Pelodiscus sinensis: one gene and its partner. The protein of the gene in region 1 binds, or shares a complex with, the protein of each later gene. Links are inferred from orthologs where the notes say so. Each region holds a gene or a part of one and is shown in the gene's direction. Other genes may lie near its edges.

Evidence for each region.
Region 2: the proteins of LATS1 (region 1) and NF2 are in contact, whole or in part, in a crystal structure (PDB 7LWH), measured with the Homo sapiens proteins. The link is inferred for Pelodiscus sinensis from reciprocal best matches to the Homo sapiens genes LATS1 and NF2. Residues at the interface, in NP_004681.1 of Homo sapiens: Pro69, Lys70, Phe71, Gly72, His74, Ala77, Leu78, Glu80, Ile81, Arg82, Ser84, Leu85, Phe88, Ala89, Asn90; in NP_000259.1 of Homo sapiens: Pro135, Glu136, Ala137, Val139, Leu140, Tyr144, Asn175, Leu176, Tyr177, Gln178, Met179, Met183, Trp184, Arg187, Trp191, Glu206, Ile210, Asp213, Leu214, Glu215.

Annotation. Positions count from the first base shown.
Region 1 is NC_134713.1:106,440,310-106,447,712, reverse strand, and holds the start of LATS1 (serine/threonine-protein kinase LATS1), read left to right. Parts: upstream 1-4,207; 5' UTR 4,208-4,443; intron 4,444-7,403. UniProt on the Homo sapiens protein: Negative regulator of YAP1 in the Hippo signaling pathway that plays a pivotal role in organ size control and tumor suppression by restricting proliferation and promoting apoptosis.
Region 2 is NW_027465935.1:549,334-556,969, forward strand, and holds the start of NF2 (merlin), read left to right. Parts: upstream 1-4,449; 5' UTR 4,450-4,727; coding exon 4,728-4,841; intron 4,842-6,567; exon of another isoform or gene 6,568-6,662; coding exon of another isoform or gene 6,663-6,767; intron 6,768-7,636. Other genes in the region: NIPSNAP1 (protein NipSnap homolog 1), read right to left, coding at 393-469. UniProt on the Homo sapiens protein: Probable regulator of the Hippo/SWH (Sav/Wts/Hpo) signaling pathway, a signaling pathway that plays a pivotal role in tumor suppression by restricting proliferation and promoting apoptosis.

The DNA of each region.
Region 1 (7,403 bases):
TATATGTACATCATTGTAGCTATATACTCGTGCAAACCCCTAATTTATACATTCTCCCCTATTGTAAAGGATAATATGTACTATTGCAGTTTACCTGTAAAAGATGCACTTGTACACGTTGAAATGATTTGTAGATAGACTATGTCTGCTATCAGTCTTTGTAAATCCCAACTGGGGACATGACTACAGATCTAGGATCAAGATAGAGATCATAGTGTAAGCATAAGCTTCTCTGCCACCAAATAACCACAGGAAAACTGGAGAGTATTCTGCATAATAGAAGAGAGAGTGCACCACTTAAATAAAATGCCTCAATTATAATTAAAACAGCTGTCCTTTTGACCATTTGCAGGTTTTGACAGGAAACTTTAAAACACTTTAAAACATGTTTATATTAAATAATTGGACATTTGTAGAATGCATAGGAAAGATTGACTTTCAGAACTGTACGGCACGTTATTTTTCTGTTCTTTAAAGGTAACCTACAGAAAAGCGGGTGGAGGAAGATATGTTTTGTTTTTCTGTTTCACGTAAGAAGTGCTGAAAGATGGGGTTAGGGATGGAGATGGAGAGATGTCTTAATTTTGCTAGCTTCGGGGGTAGCCAAGTTAATCTGTACAGGAAAGAACAACAAATGGTCTGGTAGCACTTTATAGACTAACAAAACATGTCGATGGTATCATGAGCTTTCGTGGGCACAGCCCATTTCTTCAAACTCTGCTCATCTGAAGAAGTGGGCTGTGCCCACGAAAGCTCATGATACCATCGACATGTTTTGTTAGTCTATAAAGTGCTACCAGACCATTTTGTTGTTTGTTTTTTAAATTTTGCTAGGTTTTCTTAAAATGGGAATTCAAGTCTTGTCTAAGCTGGAATGCTCTGATACCTGGAGAAATAGTGAAAAGAATATCAGCAAAAAAGGAGAAGAATTTTCTAATTGCCTTTCAAAACTCTTAAACAAGTTTTACACAAGAGAAAAAATGAACTTAAATGAGTTTGAATAGAAGTCTTAGACTTAACACCCTAGGCCCTTCAATTAAGATGGTCAGTGCTCATAGTAATTTAACGCTTCCTGCTGGTCCTCTAAAAACCAGATTTCACGTTTCAGGTATTTCTAAGGTTAAGAAGGCCAAACTGCTTTTTTTTTTAAACTTGTCATAGTTCCTTTTTCATGTATTTTTGAATTATTAGATACTTCATAATTATTTTGCAGATTACTGTAAAAAAAAAATATGCCTAATAGCAACTTAAAAGGCTGCTCTCTTCCTGTGCATTGCAGTGATGAAGTTCATTTTCTATGGTTCAACCTATTTTCCACCAGTAGTAGACTGAACCATCAACACCTCTGCTTTCTCCTCTTCCCTCCCCCCCAAAAAAATAATTCTCACCTAAATAGTCTTACCATTCATAATAAAGGGAAGTATCACTGTGCAGGGAAAGAGGGGCTAAAGGAGAATTCTCACGGGTTTTGGGAGGTGAGATTTAGATTACTGTCAGGGAGGGGAGAAATGGATTTTTTTGTAACTTGGGCCCAGAAAGTGGTCATTGCAGTGGTAGCCAGAGGTCAGCTGTAGTTGCATGTCACCAAAATTAGAACCTATGGATATTACTGACTTGGTACAGCCACTTTTCCAAGGATCTTTACATCTGTTTCCCTTTCTGAATACAGTAAAGTGAAAGTGACTGAATGATCTATGATAAATGTATTTTGAGTGTCTTATTTAATATTATACGTTAAATGTTAAGTTACATACACCATTAACTTACAAGGCTACTCTAACTTCGTAGCAGATAACATTTAGTGAATTGCAAATAATTCTATTGAAGGGTTTTTGCAAGAAAACAAACTTCACAAGCTAAGCTCAAATTTGTGTTCAAAATCACTACTTTGTATTTGTACAAAATGATGCAACATGCTCATTTTTCTTCAGAAGTTAGATAAAATATGCCACTACTATGCCAAATGAGGTGATGCAGCTTTTTGAAGATCTAGGCAGCTTGCTCTTGGATATATTTTTTTTTTGTGATAAGGCCTTATTTCCTATATCTTTATTTGTATTCAGAGTTTTTAACCTCTTGGGAGACCTTGATTTTATTTTTTGTACACGGTTATGAAGATTCTTGCGCCTTCAAAAGTCTCTCCCGTCTGAGCTAGGTTGAAAAGGGAACAACCTATCTCCAAGAGGCAGTGGTAGGGAGGAGGAAATGAGTAGTCAATATTTCACTCGAGTGCATGAAACCATAAGTTTATTGGGTAGTTGACTAGCTGACTACTTGCTAATGTTCCCAGGGCAGGAGTGTTATGATGCTGTGGCCAAATGGGGGCTGGACCCCAATTGGAGGCTTTTTGGCCAGGCTTCATTTTTAAATGAAGGAAAATATTATGTCCAACAAAATGGTTTCAACATTGTCTATAATTATGGCTGCTAAGTACAAGCTTATTGGGTAGTTGAGTGGAGTATTGACTACTTACTCCCTCTCTGTAGAGGCAGCAAGGGAGGGACCAAGAGCTGGTGCTGGGTGAGCCAGCTGGCTTAAAGGCTGATTTTTCCCCAGCACCATGTCTAGGGTGCTGCCTGCCCCCTCCCCTGCCTCTATTAGAAGCAGAGGGGGGAGATAAGGGAGGCTGTTCTGGTAGCAGCCTCTGTCCATGGTGGTCCCAGCTGTGAGCTGGGCCCCCTCATCGATAGGGGCTGCTGGACTTGTGTTGGTCTGGGACACTGCCTCTGCATTTTAAATGTAGTAAGAGCCCAGTGGTCCTGCTTACGTTTAAAATGCAAAGCCGCAGGGTGGGTGGCTTCTGGAGTTGGCATGACCTGGGACTGCTCAGTGCTGGCTCCTGGAGCTACCCCTGCTGTGGCTCTGTAGACTGCCCCTTATTAACTAATCATGTAATTGATATAAATTGTATGAATTACACGATTAGCTACAACTGCAATTTAACATCCTCATCTCCCTCCCCTTCCCCCACACATCCCAACCCTCACAGCCCATCATACACATGAACTTCTTCCCCTGAGCCCCTTATTCCCTGTACATCCCCAAACTCCTGCACCTCCCCAACCCCTGCCATAAGGTTGACAGATGACAGCCTGAATGCATGCATAAAGCTGGATTTGACCAATTTCGATAAAAACATCAGAGAAATGTGCACAAAAATGCAGCAAAAAGTCCCATTAAAGTCTGTGAGTACAATATTTAATTTATGCTACTGTTAATCATGTCAATATTAAGTTGCATATTTTCAGTCATGCAAATGGGCATTCTTATACAGCTGTTTGTTGACTCTGTGTTTTGAATTTTGATGTAGTTTGGCTTTTGGTTTTGAAAATGTTGCCGACCCCTGATCTAAGGCATCCAATTAATAGATGCTGTGCTGCTAGTATATTATATCACATCCCATAAAATTCACTGTTAAATGTAAGGATCTGTATATTACAGGTCATGGTTGCTATGAATTTTTTATTACAGTCCTGGGTCCTGTCCATGCCTTTTTCTAATAAATAACCCGGATAACATTTTAGCTGACCATATTTAACAGTTCTGTACCATGCTGCCGCGGTCAGTATTGGCAGTTAGGAAAGTAGAGCAAGCTTGTGACAAAATTGCATAGTATTTCACATCTCATTAACTAAAGACTTGTTGAATCCACCACATGCCGGTCTGCCTTCATGCTGCCAGTGGCAGATAAATTAACCAGGTGAGGGATGTACAGATGCATGGCCAATTTCATACTCCCTGGAACAAGTGACATAGAATTAGCTTGGGTCGGAGCCCGCTCCCTGCCAGCCCTGGGCCGATAGAAGCGAAGGCAAAGGAACCGCGCGGGGCCTGGCCCGTAGCGGGATGTCAGTGTTGTGTGGCAATGGCAGGCAGCTGCCGGAGCCGGGGAGCCCATTGCTGAGAAGGCTGCAGCGCGGCTGGAACTTGCGAGCTCCCGGTGACTGAGACTCGCGTAGGGAATCTGGGAGGGCATCAGCCACCCAACCAATCCTACAGGCGGATTAGTCCATAGGTTCCTGGTTGGGGGGGGGGGGAGGGTGCACTACTCGCCGCTGCCACAGCAGGAGGGAGGGGGGCGCGGCCCATTGCCTGCCCCCCCCCCCTCCCTCCCTCCCGCGTAGAGCCGGGCCCGGCACGCTGACTCGGAGATGCTCACATTCCAATCCGGAGGGGCGGGGGGAGCCGCAGGGGATACGCGCAAAGGATGCCGGGAACGGCCCATATCCGGGAAGCCCTCTGCGCCAGACCCACCGAGAACATGGCGGCCCGGAACTGAGCCCCACGGGGGGTGGGGGAGGGGACGAGCTGCTACCAGCCCCGGGGACCCGAACGGCCCAGCCGCCGCCCCGCGGGCGGAGCCCAGCGCCACACGCAGCGCGCCGCTCCCCGCCACACGCGTGGGCCCGGGGCGACGCCGCCGCCGCTGCCTTGTCCCCGCAGGTAGGTCCGGCTGCCGCGGGAGGGGAGCGCGGCCTGGGGCACCCCGTGCCCGGCGGAGGCGAGGCCCTACTGGGCTGCGCAGATTGACGCGACTTCGCCGCCTCTGGGCCCGGGGCGGGTGTGGGGGGAGGTGAGCGGCGCTGCCCCCGAGTGAGCGGAGACAATACCAGCCCTTCCCCGCCCCCCACTCTCCCCGCGGAAGCCAGGCCCCGCCGCTGTGCGACCCCGCCTCCCGCAAGGGGGTTCCCTGTCTGCAGCTCCGTGCCCAGCTGTGCCTCCCTGCCCAGCCCGCTTCCCTCGCCCCGGCACAGCGCTTTGCCCCGGGGGGGGATTCCTCTCGCCGCGGATTCCCCGTGTGCTGCCCCAGCGCCTCGCCTTAGCTGGGCAGGGGCTGGGCAGCACCGACGAGAATCCACTTTGTTTCCTGGGGTGGGTGCAGGGGTCTGCAGTCGGTCTCTGCAGCTGGATTTGTTATATATTTGAACCCTGGATTAAATTTTGAAGCGTTTCTCCTTGTTCACCCAAAATAAATATGGGGAGGAGGGAGCGGAGTAATTGAAATCGTGTGTGTGAGTGATTCGAGACCCAGATCTATTCACTGTTGAGGACTGTAGGGATGGGATGGCAACATACTGAGGAGACTACCCTGGATGAGAGATCATTCCCTGAACATAATGCTCCCTTATGGCCTCTTTAGCTGTTATCGGCACTGACATCTGCAGTCAAATAGTTATAAGAAACTAGGTTGGTTAGCATACTTTCATTTAAGTGAAACCTAGTTTAATTTGTCTGTGGGTATCTCATGAGCATCTCACCATTTTAATGATTTAAATTTGATTAATGTTCACACATCAGTCTAATTTCCATCTCTAAGCATCTAGATGTCACAGATAAGGGAGAATCTAATACTTGAGCAGATGGTATTCATGCTGCTCTGAATTTTTGTATATAGGTTGAAAAATAAAGTACAACGCTGAGCTGCAGGATCAGTGACTGTCTTGTACCAAGTACAACGCTGAGCTGCAGGATCAGTGACTGTCTTGTACCAATATTTTAGAGCATAAGAAAGGCTATATAGATTCAGCTTAATGTTTCATCTAGCCCAGTATCCTGCCTTCTGGTACCAGCAACTATTAGATGTTTCAGAGGAAATGAACAGAACAACTACCAATTGATCCCTTATCATCCAGGCCCAGATTCTGGCAGTCAAAGGCATAGGGAGACAGAGTGTGGGGATTGTCCCTGATTGCTAAAAGCAAATGACAAACTTAATCTCCATGAATTTATGTAATTATTTTTTTAATTCAGTTATGTTTTTGATCAACTCAACATCCCTGGCAATGAGTTCCATAGGTTGATTGCTTGGTGTGAAGAAGTACTTTCTTATGATTGTTTAAAACCTGGTGCCTATTACTTTCATTGGGTGACCACTGGTTCTAGTGTTATGTGAAGGGATAAATAATGCTACTTCGCTTTCTCTATACAGATTGTGTTTTTTCCATTATCATATGACTTCTAAGCTAAACAGATGCAGTTTCTTTAATCTTTCCTCATATGTAAGCTGTTCCATACCCATCTTAATTGTTGTTACTCTAAGCTATACTTTTTCCAATTCTAATACTACTGTTTTGAGATGGAGCAACAAGAATTGCATGCCGTGTCAAAGGACTGGGTATATAATGGCATTATAATATTTTCTGTCTTATTTTCTGACTCTTCCCTTATGTTTCCTAAGATGGTTAGATTTTTTGACTGCTGCTGCCCTAATTGGCCTGGGGGCGGGGGGAGCATCAGGTCCTCTGCGGGCCTGATCCACCCACTTGGCAGCTGGATCTGGCCCGTGGAGGCCTTTTTGCCCACCACTGTTCTACTGGTACAATCTCAGTTGAGGAACCAGTTCAATTTGGTTTCAAAGCAATGCAGTTTTCAAGCTCATTGGTCTTTAGTCTGTCTTGCTAAGACCACCAAGAAAACATTAAATTGTATGCAACATTTAGTACATAGCATTTGTCTTCTGAGGATCTCAAAACAGTTTACAGAGTAAGTATAATTATCTCCATTTTATAGATAGGGGAAAATTCCTCAAGGGGGGAAATTCCTGGGAAAACACTTAAATCAGTAATGAATTTGTAGTGATTTTCTATCACAGTGTAAATTGACAAATGGGATTTTAAGTAGCTTACATAGTAGTGATCTGATAGTAATTATTTCTGGGTGCTATAAATTTCAACTTTGAATTAATAACCTAAATGTTCTCTTATTACTAGCCCTCCTGAGCCATCAGATAATTTTGTTCAGGGTCTTGGATAAGTTTACACTCCCAAATACCTTATTCCTGGATGATAGTGAGTTATTTTTTAGTACCTTAAAATGTAACTACATGTTCACTTTTGTAGCCAATTATTCTTTAGAGCTTTTACTGTAATCACTTGGATGCAGAAAAACTTGTTTTCCATTATGTTGGTAAGCAAAAAAAAGTCAAGCTTAGAACTGGCAGTAAGTTACCTTTGCCTTCACTTTTCTTTGGGATGTGTGTGTATTCAAACACTGCAGTCACATTTCATACATTAAAAGCAATAAGTAATAAAACTAAAGAACAAAAATCTGTTTGCTTAAGAATAATTTTAAACAGTTGTTTTAATAACTCATGGCACACTTGCTGCATTATCATATTTTAAACTATTTATTAAACTTTTGCATTTTTGAAGTATTTTTAATGTTAAAGTTGCAGTGAAGATTTACATTTCCCAAATTAAGAGTTAAGGTTACAAAGGGAAGCTAGTTAGGTACCCTTATCTCTATATGCATTACAATTTAAATGAGATAATCCTATACTATTTTTCTAATAGATATTTTACAGGGATGGATTTTTTTTTAACAATTTATATTCAGACATGTAGCATCTTGTAATATATTATATATACTCAACACTCCCTGGAATTATATACCTGAAGATTTCT
Region 2 (7,636 bases), on another chromosome or scaffold:
CAGGTGAGGTGATGGGCCCCAGGGAATAGGAGTACAAGGGACTAGAAGATGGAGACGCTGGGGGGCAGGAGACTGGGGCTGTGAGGTAGGGGGCGCTGGGGCTGGCCACGTTGGAAGACAGGGGGCTGGGGCTCTCGGTACACGGGTGCCAGGGATGGACATACTTGGGGGGCAGGGGACATGGGTATGGGGATGCCAGGGATGGACAAGTTGGGGGTACGGGGGCGCCGGGGAGGGCCACGTGCGGGGATGGGACGGGGATGTACACTGGGGACGGGATACTGGGGGACAAGGGACCGGGCTGCGGGGGCGCCGGGGAGGACCCGCGGGGGGCGCACGGCACCGTGGCCGGGGGGGGAAGGGGGTGCTAGCCCCGGGGCCGCGGGTCTCACCGGGCTCCGCTCCGGGCCACGCAGGGTCCCCGCAGCAGGCGCCGCAGCGCCGGGTTCCCGCACACCCGCGTCGCCATCTTCGCGCTGCGGAGCCGCAGCCGGGCGCTGCGCGGGGCGGGCCGGGGGGGCGGGTCCGGGCGGGGACTCCCCTCCCCCCGCGCCCCTTTGCTCCCCCTGCCCGAAGAAGGGGCGCGCGAGGGCGCGATCCCTGCGCGGGGGGCGCAATTCCGTGCGCACCGCGTGCCCAAAGCGCACACGCCTGGGGCCGCAGCTAAGCTTGGACGAGGCAGGGAAGCGTAAAATCTCCCCCTATTTCAGACCCGGGCTGCCCCAGCCTCCGAGCCCAGAGCCCCCGTCCCTCTGCAAGGAGGAACATCCCTTATAGGAGCAGCAGGGTGGGTCTCTTTGGGGGCCCATCTGTGCGCCCTCACGCCTGCCTGGACGCTCCTTGGGGTAGAGACCCAGTTCCATTCTTGGTCCTGTTGGTCTGCAGTCCTGAACTGGGACCTCTTGGTTAATCGCCTTGGCCATGGAGCAGGGCAGCTGAATTTTCGGTTGTGTCATTTCTAGTCTCCCCCCTCCCCGCGAAAACACAATCTATGTGCGGGGAGCACGGAGGAGTTGACCCTACCCATCTCCGGTCACTACATGTGTATACAATATTTGATCTGTATTTATAGTGTGGCTTTTAAAAAAATGGTGTAAGCCACCTCGAATATTTTAAATAATAGCGGCGGGGCAAAAATATTAAAAAGAAATCAGCGTAAATGAAACGAGCACAGAGATGGAAAGGGACGGGAATTCACCCGGCGCTGAAAAGCGTATCCTGGTTCTGCACTCAAATGCCCAGGAAGGTGTGGGGAGAAAAACGCTCTTGGTTAAACATCCAATGAAGACCTCCCCATTGAAAAAAGGCCTCAAATATCTTAAATAAGAAAGGCTGGGCAAAAATATTGAAAAGCTATTGCCATAAATGAAATGGGCGCAGAGATGGAAAGGGACGGGAATTCACCCTGTGCCGAAAAGCGTATCCTGGTTTTGCACTCAAATGCCCAGGAAGCAGCAGGGAGAAAAACACTCTTGGTTAAACATCTACGAATGACCTCCCCATTGAAAAAAGGCCTCGAATATTTTAAATGAGAGAGGCAGGGCAAAAATATTTCAAAGAAATCAGCATAAATTAAATGAGCGCAGAGATGGAAAGGGACGGGAATTCACACGGTGCTGAAAAGCGTATCCTGGTTTTGCACTCAAATGCCCAGGAAGCAGCGGGGAGAAAAGCGCTCTTGGTTAAACATCCAGCAATACTCCCCCCACCCATTGAAAAAAGGCCTTGAATATTTTAAATGAAAGAGGCAGGGAAAAAATATGTAAAGAAATCACCATAAATTAAATGGGCACAGAGATGGAAAGGGAGGGGAAGTCACACAGTGCTGAAAAGCGTATCCTGGTTCTGCACTCAAATGCCCAGGAAGCAGCGGGGAGAAAAACGCTCTTGGTTAAACATCCAATGATGACCTCCCCATTGAAAAAAGGCCTCGAATATTTTAAATGAGAGGCAGGGCAAAATATTGAAAAGAAATCAGCATAAATGAAATGAGCGCAGAGATGGAAAGGGACGGGAATTCACACGGTGCTGAAAAGCGTATCCCAGCTCTGCACTCAAATGCCCACGAAGCAGCGGGGAGAAAAGCGCTCTTGGTTAAATATCCAACAATGACACCCCCCCTTCCGGAAAAAAGGCTTCTAGCTACATTAGGACACCCCTGACTCCCTCTTCCTGCTATTTCTAAGATCTGAAAACAAGGGGAGTTGTTGAAATCCACCGCAAAGGCCCAGACGCAGGAAACCAGACGTTGTCCCCCGTGCGGGTCGCTGCATTGCTAATCCCGTTTGGCAAGGAGGAGGCACGGTTTCCAGTCATTCGGAATATGGATTTTATGGGCCACCCCCACTTCTACAGACGCGCCGGGCAGCCGGCCAGGAGGATGCATTGCTGTCTGCATTCTTCATTTTCAAAGGTCCTCTAAGCCGACAAGTCACCTCCAGCCGGGGCTCCCTTGCTGTGCCGCAGGAGCGGCGTGGGGCGGATTTCGGGGTTACACGGGGAAGGGCCATTTGCGCGCCCTACCTTGCAAGGGTGAGCCAGAAGGAGGCTGACTCTGGGGGGGTGCAGACTGGGTCAGATTTCTAGGGAAGGACAAGTCAGGCTGCAGACAGTTGTTGCCTGGGCCACCTGCCTAGAGTACACTGAGAGGGGGTTCACCCCCCCCAGAGATGGCCATGGGATGGTGTTCCTGGGGGCGGCCCCCCACCAGCTAGATCCCCCCCCCACATAGGTACAATGCCCCAGATCACCTGCCTCCGCTCTGGCTAGGCCAGCGAGGGCAGCCAACTTTCTGTCAGCTGAAAAGGCAACCTGGCCCCGCCCCTTTCCTGAAGCCCCGCCCCTTTCCTGAGGCCCCGCCCCAGTACCTTCTCCAAGGCCCTCCCACACTCACTCCAGCCCCCTCCATTCCTTGCTTGCTTCCCCCCCCCCACTCACTGGTTTTCACCAGCGTGGGCCGGGTTACGGGAGGGGGGAGGGCTTTGGCTGGGGGGGTGTGGGCTGTGGGGTGGGGCTGCAGGAGGGGGCTAGGGCTGAGGGATTTGGCGTGGGGGAGGCGGGCCCCATGGGGGGGTGTTAAACTTATTTCTTAGGGTGTGATCCTTCCTGGTCGTGGGGGGGGGGGGAGGCAGAGGAAACAGCAGCGATTGGCTGGCGAGGGAGGACGACTGGCAGACAGGCAAAGCCCAGGGGGCGCCAAAGCACCGGGGGGGGGGGGCGGATTTCCCTGCCCCCTGTCCCTTGGGTGGGGTCTGGGGGCGCCAGGCCCAAAGCGAAACTGACGCAGATGGGCACGTGCCAGGGCTTGGGTGCTGCAGTGGGGCTCGGGTCCCGCCCCGATGGCTCCAGACCCCGCCCACACAGGTTCAGACCCCGCCCTGACCTCTCCAGGCTCCGCCCTGCTTGCTCCAGGCCCCGCCCAGAGGGATCCTGGCCCCGCCCACACAGGTTCAGACCCCGCCCTGGCCTCTCCAGGCCCCGCCCTGACATCTAAAGCCCCGCCCGGATGGCTCCAGGCCCCACCCTGAGTGTTCCAGGCCCCGCCCTCATGTCTCCAGGCCCCGCCCACACAGGTTCAGACCCCGCCCTGAGTGTTCCAGGGCCCGGCTCAGGCCCCGCCCTGACAGTTCCAGGCCCCGCCCATCGAGCCTGAGTCCGGGAGGCGCTCAGGCCGCCGCGAGGGGGCGCGCGAGCCCGCGTGACGCCTTCCCCGGCCCAGGCCCGCCCCCTCCAGCGGCCTCTCAACCAAGCCTGCTGGGGAGGCGGGGCGCGCGCGGCGGAGTGGCAGCGCCGCCGGCCAATCGGGGAGCGGCTCGCGCCCAGGCCGGCCGGGCGGGGCTGGCGATTGGCCGAGGCGGGCGGGCGGACGGGCGGGGCCCCGCCCCCGGGGGGGGGCGCGGCCAATGGCGGAGCGCGCTGGGGTTCGGCTGCGCCAGCTGAGGCCCGCCGCGCTCGGTGGGCAGGGACCGCGGGGCCCGGTTCTGAGCTCCCCCGCCCCGCCCCCCCGGGCTAGGCCCCCCCCTCGGGCTAGACCCCCCCCCGCGGAGCGCCCGCCCCTCCCCCCGGGCTAGGACCCCCCCAGACCCCCCCGGGCTAGACCCCCCCCGCGGAGCGCCCGCCCCTCCCCCCGGGCTAGGACCCCCCAGCCCCTCCCCCCCTTAGTCCCCCTCCGTCCTAGGCCCCCCGCCCCTCCCCCCACCTCCCCACCCTCCCCCCCGAGCTAGGCCCCCTCTACTCCCCCTACATCCCCCCCACCCTCCTCCCCTCCCCCTCTTAACCCCTCCCCCATAGGCCCCCGCCCTTCCCTTAGCCCCCCCGCCTCTGCCCTCCCCCCCTCCTCCCCTATAACCTCCCGCCCTCCCCATCCCCCCTTTAGCCCCCCCATAGCCCCCTCCCCCGTTCCCACCCCCATCAGGCCCCCCCCTTTCCTCCCCAGGGCTAGACCCCCCCCCGGGATAAGCCCCCTGGGTCAGCCCCTCTGCACTCCCTTCCCACTGCCCCCCCTCTCGGGCTGGGTCTCGCAGGGCTGCCCCCCCCCCACTCCGGCCAGGCCCGCTGCACGCTCGCCCCGCCCCCGTTGGCGAACCGGAGCCACTGGGGGCTGGTAGGGTGCCCCCCCGGGGACCAGACCCAGCTCACCCCGCCCCCCGCCTGCCCCTGGTGCCGGGCCTCGGGCAGCGTGTTGGAGGGGAGAAGTGGGATCTTGCCCTAATTCCCGGCACCCCACCATGGCCGGGGCCATCGCGTCGCGGATGAGTTTCAGCTCCCTGAAGAGAAAGCAGCCGAAAACCTTCACGGTGCGGATCATGACCATGGACGCCGAGATGGAGTTCAACTGCGAGGTAACAGCGTCCGCAGAGCACCACGGCCAGCGCCTCCGGATCGCTGCCGGCGCGGGGTTCCCGGACACCCTGCTGCCCGGCGGGCCGCTTTCGTTCCACTGTGGAGCGATCCCTGAGCCGGCCACGGAGACGCACCCACCCCTGGAGCGGACGGTGGCGGCGGCTGGGTAAAGCGCAGCACGCCACAGCTACACAGTGGGTTGGGACAGGCCCCGAGGACGGATCGGGGGGAAATCAAGGCAGGCCACATGTAGGTAGTTGGAGCCCTCTAAAAGTTGGCCCACTAATGGCTTGCCGCGTATTGGTAAATCAGAGCAAAGTGCTCCCGATAAAATCCACTTTCTGCGCGCTGCTGCATCCCGGCGTCCAGAGATGGGGAGTTGCTAGCCAAAGACACACCCTCTAGAGCAGCGTCTCTCAACTTTTTTTTTTTTATAAAGTACCCCCTTCAAAAAAAAAAAAAATAAGTATCCCCGATACCTCCAGTTTTATAAATAAAATTTAAATCACTGGAGATTGCCTATCTCCTAGAACTGGAAGGGACCTTGAAAGGTCATCGAGTCCAGCCCTCTGCCTTCACAGCAGGACCAAGTACCATCCTTGACAAATATTTGCCCCAAATCCCTAAATGGCCTCTGTGAGGATTGAACTCACAGCCCTGGGTTGAGCAGGCCCATGCTCAAACCACTGAGCGATCCCTAAAAAAAATTTCCGACACACAATTTCAGACAGGTACAGATGTGGTCTCCTCACCTCAAAAAAGATATTTTGGCCTTGGAAAGGGTTCAGAAAAGGGCAACTAAAATGATTCGGGGTTTGGAACGGGTCCCATATGAGGAGAGGTTAAAACGACTGGGACTTTTCAGTTTCGAAAAGAGGAAACTGAGGGGGGATAGGATAGAGGTCTATAAAATCATGAGTGGTGTAGAGAGGGCCGATAAAGAAAAGTTATTTATTAGTTCCCTAAATAGAAGAACTAGAGGACACTAATTGAAATTAATGGGTAGCAGGTTTAAAACTAATAAAAGAAAGTTCTTCACACGGCGTGTAGTCAACCTGTGGAACTCCTCGCCAGAGGAGGCTGTGAAGACTAGGACTATTATTAGAGTTTAAATTGAAGCTAGATAATTTCATGGAGGTTAGGTCCATAAAAGGCTATTAGCCAGGGGATACAATGGTGTCCTTGGCCTCTGTTTGTCAGAGGCTGGAGAGGGATGGCAGGAGACAAATCGCTTGATCATTGTCTTCGGTCCACCCTCTCTGGGGCACCTGGCGCTGGCCACTGTCGGCAGACAGGATACTGGGCTAGAAGGACCTTTGGTCTGACCCAGTACGGACGTTCTTATGTTCTTAATTTTTTTTCTACCGTTGCAACATTTAATCGTCGCCGGGCAGGCGATGAAATTTTTGGATGTCAAATAAGGACACCCATAGTAAAACGCTGTGAAATTGAAAACAACGATTCAGTTTTCTCCAAGTTTCAGCAGCGTAAAAAGTCTACAGAAAAGAAAGCGCTGTAAAACTTAAAACGCAAATTCAGTTTTCTCCAAATTTGAGCAGCGTAAAAAGTCTACAGAAAAGAAAGCGCTGTAAAACTTAAAACGCAAATTCAGTTTTCTCCAAATTTGAGCAGCGTAAAAAGTCTACAGAAAAGAGAGCGCTGTAAAACTTAAAACACAAATTCAGTTTTCTCCGAATTTCAGTAGTGTTGATGTTCCCCTCCCAGACTTCTCTCGAGTACCTCTCAGGATCCTTGTACCACTGGTTGAGAAACATCGATTTAGAGTGTCTCCGGAGACACCAACGTGTTTGTAGCCAGAGATGGAACATCCACGTTTCAGTTTGAATGTTCTTGGATCTACTCCCTGCCACCTGCATCTGTTCCGGGTAGGCAGCTGTGTTCGTAGATGGCGCCACTTTTCAGAGGTCTGCATTGTAACGCCCTCGTTAATCTGCCATGGAAGCAGGAAGGGTTGGGGGGGATCTGGGCCCGCCCACTACTCTGGGTTCAGGTCGAGGGACCAGGGTTTTCCCTGTAGTCCAGTGGTTCCCAAACTTTTTGGCATCACGCCCCTTCCCCCCCCTCCCCAAAATAGCAGTAAAACTTGTTGAGAAAAAAAAAAGGAACTGAGCTGAGGGCGGGGGGTGAAAAACAAAACTTGCAGCAAAACTTGTTGAAAAAGAAAAAAAGATTGCCCTGCCCTTTTAAGAACAGAACAGGCATTGCTCTTTTAAGGTGGCCATTGTGAAATCTGCCCCAGCCAGCCCGAGCTGCATGTGTTCCGGCGGCCAAGCAGACAGACAGACAGACGGACTGGGCTCTTTCTTGAGGGGGAGGGGCAGGAGAGGGGCAGGAGAGGTCTTCGTGGAGGGGCAGGAGAGGTAAAGACGCAGCATCTGAGACAAGGAGTGAGTCGGGACACACCCGGTCCCTTGCTGCATCTCTGCCTTTTAAATGTAGTAAGAGCCAGGCAGGACTTTAAAAGGCAAGGCCCGGAGCTAACCCCACTGTGGCTCTGCAGGTCTCCCCTTATCGATTAATCGAGTAGTCGATGGAAATTCCATCGACTACTCGATTAGTTGATTAAACGGACTTTAACATCCTTAGCTCTGACTAGATTCCAATGTAACAAAATCAAATATAGGGTCACCCTCTATTTTATAGCTTAATTAGGTAAATTAATTTTGTTAATTAAAGGCTAATTAGATCATTTATCCCCTCTAACCCATAAAAACTGCTAGCAGTTGCTTTGTGTACGATAGGGGTGCGTCTACACAACACCCTTCTTTCGAAA